Xenopus tropicalis: one gene and its partner. The protein of the gene in region 2 interacts with the protein of the main gene of each other region in a pairwise test. Links are inferred from orthologs where the notes say so. Each region holds a gene or a part of one and is shown on either strand. Other genes may lie near its edges.

Region 1 (3,827 bases), on a different chromosome or scaffold from region 2:
AATAAAGTTAAGGCTGTAAACTACAAGATGTCCAGGCAGTCAGAGGTGAGCTACAAAATGGCAGCATTTTAATGTCTTTTTCACTCTCCATTTTTCAGATATTGCTTTATGTTCTAGTAAAGTGGCATTTAAACAAATACTAATGAGCCCACTGGACTGATCTTTGCAGTTTAATCTTCAAAATTTTCTCAAAATAAAAATGCCAGAAGGAAAAATATCAAAATCTAAATCTGAGGGTGAAAAGCAGTTCTTTAAAAATGTCTAAGAACCTTTGATAAATTGGTCCTTTAGTATATAAAATCTTCAGTGCTATGCTTAGTGAATAAAAGCACATATTTAATAAGGTAAGTCCATTTACATGCTTTTGTTTGTTTAACCATCTTAAAGTTCTGTTGCACAGTAAGTGAGGACTCCATGCTGGGGATCAAACACTTGACCCAAGCATGCCGATTTTGCTAGGCCATGTGAGCGTGCCTCTTTGAACATATAGACACAAAACATACACCAACATATATTCTCATTAAGAAAGCATTTTAGAAAGAACCTCAAGTTGATCAAAACTAAATTCGTGATCTCTGCCCCGGGGCAGGTTGCCAAGAATAAAAGGGCAATATACATGTCTTGTTCAACCTGAGTGCAATGAAAATGGCTTGTGATAACCAAACTTTCTGCCTATTGTTATCTATGGTTTTTGTTATTCCCTTAAGTAAGCAGGCATATTGGAGCTATTCCATGTTTGTTCCTAGCAGGTCTAAATTAGATTACCAGCGCACACATAATTTTAAGGAAATAATTCTGACTTACCCTATATGTGTAACAGCGTCCCTGTTTTCAAATTCAGTAGTCCAGATTGCTATTTTATCCCCTTTTGCTCTAACATTTACAACTGCTCCACATACATCGTCGCTATATTCATCAAAGGACTCTCCAATAAGGCACATAAGCTGTAAGATGAACAAACGTAAGGAGACATGCTACAATTATTATTATTAACATTTATTTATAAAGCGCCAACATATTCCGCAGTGCTGTACAATAAGTGGGTTTCATACATTGGACATACAGAGTAACATATAAAGCAATCAATAACCGATACAAGAGGTGAAGAGGGCCCTGCCCAAAAGAGCTTACGATCTACAAGGAGAATCAAACAGAAGAAAAACAAAACTGATACCTAATCATTGTAATGATTTATTACATATAGGTTACCTAATTTAAATGTAAATAGTGTCATTTAGAAATAAAAAGTAGACCATAAAATCATTCCAACTTGCAGATTAGTGTGACTGAAGTTTATCGAAGCACAGGTCACATGGCTGTGGCACCCTGGGAAATGAAGAATATGGCTAGCCCCATGTGATTTCTCAAAATTAAATATAAAAAAAAAAAATCGGTTTTTGAAAAATGGATTTCAATGCAGGATTCTGCAGGAGAAGCTCCTTTAAGGGGACATGTTACAACCAAAATACCTGTACAGAAGAATGATCTTTCAGCTTTCAGTCTAAATGTATTTTTGTGCTCTAATACAGAATGTTTGTCCTCTTAAGTGTGTGCTCAACTATTGGGCACTTTCTATAAAAATACTAGCGATAATATAGTTCAACACTCAAAAACAGAAGTGACATAATTATTGTAACACATGTTTTAATAAATAAAAGTTGCCTGATTTCTTATCCGAATATATAAATATATATGTCAAAGCTAATGCATAGCCCCACTAAAAAAGGCTTCCGTCAACATGTAAGTCAAGTATTCATTGCAACTTTTGTTGGGGAAATATATTTGCAAAAACCAAAGCAAATCCCTACCCCCAACCCTATTTCAGTCCTACAGTTATCCCTTACTGTTAGCCCGAGTGCCTTATAAAATAATGGGCTTGCTGTACTTCAAGTTTTACCAGATAATGAAACTGTAGACCACTTGTTATTTGGGGGTATATTTATCATGCTGTGTAAAAAGTGGAGTTAAAGATCACCGGTGATGTTGCTCATAGCAGCCAATCAGATGCTTTGCTTTGATTTTCTAACTGTTACAATCTAATTGCTGATTGGTTGCCCTGGGCAACATCACCAGTAATGCTTCACTCTACTTTTTACACAGCATGATAAATATACCCCTAAGCTATAGTTGTGGAGATCCCTTAACAGATGAATGCTGAAATGTGAGCAGTGACCAAATATCAATTATAGTTCACATGCAGAGACTTTATATACCATGTTGGTCTATTGTTTATAGCAATCTCTGGATTCACTGCAGTCTTTATGGAGTAGATGTAATAAGTCATGAGTGTAATTTTTAAGATGATGTCACATGTTCACAACTACTATTGCTACATGAATAAAGCATACAATAAAGAAATATCACTGCAAACCAAAATCATTGCGCTCTCAGGAAGTAACTCAAGAAGTGTTAAAATACTTTAAGGAATCTTAGAGCTAAAAAATGTGTACATTACACACCTGTTTCTGACACAAATTAATTTAAACAGGGTTAAAGAAATAAAATATTGAATAGAATATAGAATACTAGTATTTATTTTTGTCTTACAACAAAATGTAATTGCGCCCTGTCAATTGATTTAAATGGCAACCACCTGTGACCGCTTATACAGTAGTTGCCATTCAAGACAAGAGACATAGGCAGTTGGTGTGCCTTAGTCTTACCAGGAAAACATTCCGAGACCAAGTGCTTCACGTGACTTCTCCTATGGGGTTTCATTTTTGACATTGCAAATAAACATGGTTTTCGTGGAAAGGAATTTGTGGTTTCAAAGAACTCAAACCACTAAAATTATAATGTTGATAAATGGGCCTCTAAGACAACACTTTAATTTTACCAGAAGTGCATAAAAACGATTAAAAAAGAATGAAGTAGGAAATGCATGTAAAACACCCCCACTGCGTATGCAATTTAGTAGCTGAAAACAGAATGCTATTAACATTTAGACGTGTTGGTAGATTAAGTAGGTCCTGTGTACAAACTTGCAAACAGTCCTGTTCCTCTACCATTTTATGTAGGAGGACAGTATCAGTAGGATCCATGAAACTTGAAAAGATCTACTTTCTTAATCCTCCATATATATGGCAATAATGCAGGGTAAATTATAAGAACAGCTTCTAAACATCACTTTAGTGATAAGCATCTTAAAAAGCAGTGATGTAAAACAGAACACGTGCAAACACTAGAGAAAAGCATAATGAGCATGAGATAGAGATTAATGTTAAGTCTTTAAAGGAGAAGGAAAGGCTAAGTCACTTGGGGGTGCCAAAATGTTAGGCACCCCCAAGTGACTTTAATCACTTACCTTGTACCCCAGGGCTGGTGTCCCTGTTAGGAGAAAACAGCACCAGCCCAGGGTACCTGTAGCGCAGCGCTTCCTCCTTCGTTTTGCAAAGACTAAACGACAGGCACATGCGCAGTAGAGTGCGAAGCCGAATTCTCTGTTAAAGCTTGGCTTTTTCACTCTACTGCGCATTTTGGCACCCCCAAGTGACTTTGCCTTTCCTTCTGCTTTAAAAAGTTGTAGGTCCATATCTGTTTAGGTCTATGTGAGTTATTAAAATACTATAAGGTGTGTTGCTGTAATGGACCAATTTCCCTGTTTTATACACACAATTTGTTACATGCTACATATCAAGTTGGGGGTATCCTTAATGGAGAAGGATCTAGGGGTTTTTGTAGATAACAAGTTGTCTAATTCCAGGCAGTGTAATAAAGTGCTGTCTTGTATAAAAAAGGGCATTGACTCAAGGGAAGAAAACATAATTTTGCCTCTTTATAGGTCCTTGGTAAGGCCTCACACCTTGAGTATGAGGTGAAGTTTTGGG
Region 2 (3,927 bases):
GGGCTAAAAATGCATCTTATCTGTAAAAATGGCCCCTTTATTGGAGCTCCCGATAGATCCTCTCAGTTCTCTGTCTGTGTTTTAAATGAAGGGTGGGTGAGTCCTAACAAGCCCTGCCAAAGAAAAGTAGGAGGGGGAGAGCCACTCTCACAAGCAAAGACAGGCTTCAGTTCCCTATCAGGTCAGCCTAGCTGCTGATTGGTACAGTGCAGTGTACTGAGAACCGCCGCCCCCCCTGCACATCCAGAGAATTCAGCCAGCAGGAAGTAAGACAGATGGGCGGGACAAGTGGGGTTTTGGTGGAATTTCTCAATAAATCAGTCTAAAACACAACTTTTTTAAGCACAATCCTTCTATAATTCACTGGTACATTCTTAACTTTTATATAATATGTCTCCTTTAAGGGACTATACTCAAAAGTAAAGGACAAAATGGCTCTTTGGATAAAGGGTCTCAGTGCTGACCTTTGATTGTATCTCCTGTTCCTGGGCCCGCACCCTCCTTTCCAGCTCTCCTAAACGCTTCATTGTAGAATTTAGCAGGTCAAAGTCACTGGGAGCCGAACCTGCAACCACATTACACTGTTCAACTCTATACCTTTCAGTAAACCTTAATTTGACAACAGTTAAGTAAGATACAGTATTGTGTTATGGCAATCAGTACCAAAAAGTCCATTAGACCAAATGAAACTGGTACTAACCCTGCACAACTTTCCCCAGATGGGAGTAATTCCCTTTGTTTGTGGGTCCTGTGGTGTTTGATGGGAGACCTTCAAGTAGCATCATCTCCTCTTCTGCAATCAACAAACAGATATTAGTGCATTCCCTTGAATAATAAACTAAAGCTGGCCATACACTATTAGATCCACTAATTTAGCTAGGTCTTTCCTCTAATACACTCACCTGAGGTGAGCAATATCTGGCTAATCCCCAATTAGTTTGTATGTTCCTGAGAGTTAAGAGTTAAAGGAACAGTAACACCAAAAAATGAAAGTGTATAAAAGTAACTAAAATATAATGTGCTGCTGCCCTGCACTAGTAAAAGTTGTGTGTTTACTTCAGAAAATCTACTATAATTTATATAAATAAACTGCTATGTAGCCATGGGGGCAGCCATTCAAAGGAGAAAAGGCACAGGCACATAGCAGATAACAGATAAAACACTATTATACTCTACAGAACTTGTCTGTTATCTGCAATGTAACCTGTGCCCCCGTGGCTACACAGCAGCTTATTATATAAATTATAGTAGTGTTACTGTAGCAAACACACCAGTTTTACCAGTGCAGGGCAACAGTGCATTATATTTTTATTACTTTAAAGCTGTGGAACTGCTGTTTTAAATACTTTGTAATCTTGGGATAAAGAACTTGCAATCTTGATTGCAAGGCACTGTCACGGTCAGCGGGATGGGGATAATACAACTAAAACTTGGAAGGACAGAGACAAAAAAACTGAATGCGATGCATTGAAAATAAAAGTAAATACAAACCACTAAATTACTGTTTAATTTTTAACTCTGAGAACCCCAAACAGCTTATTTATTATTTATTCTAAATATATCCACAAGAAGATAAAACTGAATAGGTTTGTAAAAATGGGAATATATTGGCCCAGATATGGCCTTTTTTTGATCACTGATATGTGCAATTAATGGGTAGAACAAAAATAACTCACCCGTGTAGTATGCCATGGATTTGAATGGTGCAGCTCGTCTTCTAAGAAGAAAATAAAAATATTAAAAGATGCTCATTCTTTTTCTCAAGTAATATCTGGGGGGTACTTTGTAAACATAAGCAGAAATAACAGTTAGATAACAGATAGATAATTTGCTCAAGAAGAGTAGCTTTTACAAAGGTTGCTGAACTGCAGCCTCCAGCTCTGGCCGCTGGCTCCCAGGGGATACTGGATGATGTAGTCCAGAAACGGATGAAAATACTTGCAGTTAGTTACCCAGGGGATTCAAGCGCAGGTAACTGGTTCGGCGATTTAATCTGAGGTTTCGACAACTGCCCTGCCATGGGTATGTCAGGTTCCCTTATTAGTTCCAGAGTCGCAGAGGTCCTGCTCCCATCGTCACAGCGAGCCAAAGCCTGCAAAGGTGTTTCGTGCGCCTGTTTTTGCCCCCCGCTGTAACTCTGCTGGGCCAATGCTATTCTGGTTTTACGGGGTCTTCCCAGAGTAAATAAAGGGCTGCTCATGCTGCACTCACTGGGTCGCCATATTGTTTGGTACAAGTCGCTAGGTAACGCTTGCAGTATTCTGATTGGCTGCGCAAAGAGCAAGCGCGCATAGAGCAGATTGAGGCGTTGGGGTTTTTGTCTATTAAAGGTTTAATAATTTCGATTCTTTGTGTGGAGGCATCTGCTAGGGACAGTAGGAAAATCTATGTTTATTTTGTGTTTTTGCTTTGTGTTATTCACGGCTGGTGTAACGCTTATCTAAAACTGACAAAACCTTCCATTTTACTTTAGAACGATAACTGCAAACAAAATGTCTGATAGTTTACAACAGTGCTGTCCAACTGGCGGCCCGCGGGCCGCATGCGGCCCGCGACCCCCCTCTGTGTGGCCCCCCACCTGTCTGACTGCTTTGATGGCTTACTCTTGTGTAAGCTTTAAATGGTATCAGTACTGTGATTAACTTCCCCCCCTGCATGGTTCTCACCTCAGATTCAGGCTGTAATCAGGCTGTATTGTTTAAATATGTAATCCCCTGTGTTTTTCACACCTTTTAGTTTCTGCATTGTTCCCCCCCTGCAGTGTTCACACCTCAGGCTCAGGCTGTAATCACCCACATTGTTCCCCTGTTCACACCTCAGGAGCAGTAGAAACCCACAAATAATCCCTGCACACTACAAAAAGAACATATACTGAGGTGGTACTGCAATTAAAAAGTTTTTTTAATATATAGTTATTGTGCAGACTGTAGGAGCAGTGCCAGCATTGTGTCACTGTAGGCTGCCTGTGTGTGCCATACACACAGGCATCATAGGGCAAGCAGAGTATGGCACACACAGGCAGGGTAGGGAAGGCAGAGTATGGCACACACAGGCAGGGTAGGGAAGGCAGAGTATGGCACACACAGGCAGAGTATGGCACACACAGGCCAAGTATGGCACAAACCAGCCAAGAATGGCAAACACAGTGAAAGTATGGCACACTCAGGCAGGGTAGGGAAGGCAGAGTATGGCACACACAGGCAGGGTAGGGAAGGCAGAGTATGGCACACACAGGCAGAGTATGGCACACACAGGCAGGGTAGGGAAGGCAGAGAATGGCACACACAGGCAGAGTATGGCACACACAGGCCAAGTATGGCACAAACCAGCCAAGTATGGCACACAGGCAGGCAGAGTATGGCAGGTTTTTGCTGTACTACAACCATTAATATGGGTATGGTCATGTGATAACATGGGTGTGGTTTCAAGTGGGTGCAGTTTCAAAAAGGGGAGTGGTCAAAACTGGCTTCCATTATCGGCCCTCCACCACGCAGGTCGAAAAAATTCCGGCCCTCGGTACAACAGAAGTTGGACAGCACTGGTTTACAATATAACTAACACGAGTGTTTGGCGTTATGAACTGGATGCTGAAAGGCACTGCTCAGTCAGTTGTGCAAAGGTATTTGTGTGTGGGTACTAGCTAAACTGTGGCTGGAATCGGTAGGGTAGGCATTATGGAGGCTGGACTGTAAGCGCCGCCTGGTTATAGCCCGAAGCGCAATGGTACGTGAGACCAGCAGGTGGCGCACCATTCTTATACAAGTTTTATTACCTGTTTTTGTAATATACGCTTAAAATCATGCAGTTTATATCGCGGTCTGATCCGTTATCGGTGCTCAAAACAGGAGCGATGGTTTGGTGTTTCTCTGCCTTTAGGAATTCACGTTAAGTTTTCTTTGTACTTCACCCTCCTCCTATTAATAGACA

What was found.
Region 1: the proteins of ubxn11 (region 2) and eif4e interact in binary tests that used the Homo sapiens proteins (3 or more experiments, as listed by UniProt). The link is inferred for Xenopus tropicalis from reciprocal best matches to the Homo sapiens genes UBXN11 and EIF4E.

What each region holds. Positions count from the first base shown.
Region 1 is NC_030677.2:74,905,622-74,909,448, reverse strand, and holds part of eif4e (eukaryotic translation initiation factor 4E), read right to left. Parts: intron 3,077-3,827; exon of another isoform or gene 2,946-3,076; intron 945-2,945; coding exon 805-944; intron 1-804. UniProt on the Homo sapiens protein: Acts in the cytoplasm to initiate and regulate protein synthesis and is required in the nucleus for export of a subset of mRNAs from the nucleus to the cytoplasm which promotes processes such as RNA capping, processing and splicing.
Region 2 is NC_030678.2:77,358,036-77,361,962, forward strand, and holds the start of ubxn11 (UBX domain-containing protein 11), read right to left. Parts: upstream 2,254-3,927; 5' UTR 2,201-2,253; coding exon 1,953-2,200; intron 1,718-1,952; coding exon 1,677-1,717; intron 794-1,676; coding exon 701-793; intron 566-700; coding exon 465-565; intron 1-464. UniProt on the Homo sapiens protein: May be involved in the reorganization of actin cytoskeleton mediated by RND1, RND2 and RND3. Promotes RHOA activation mediated by GNA12 and GNA13.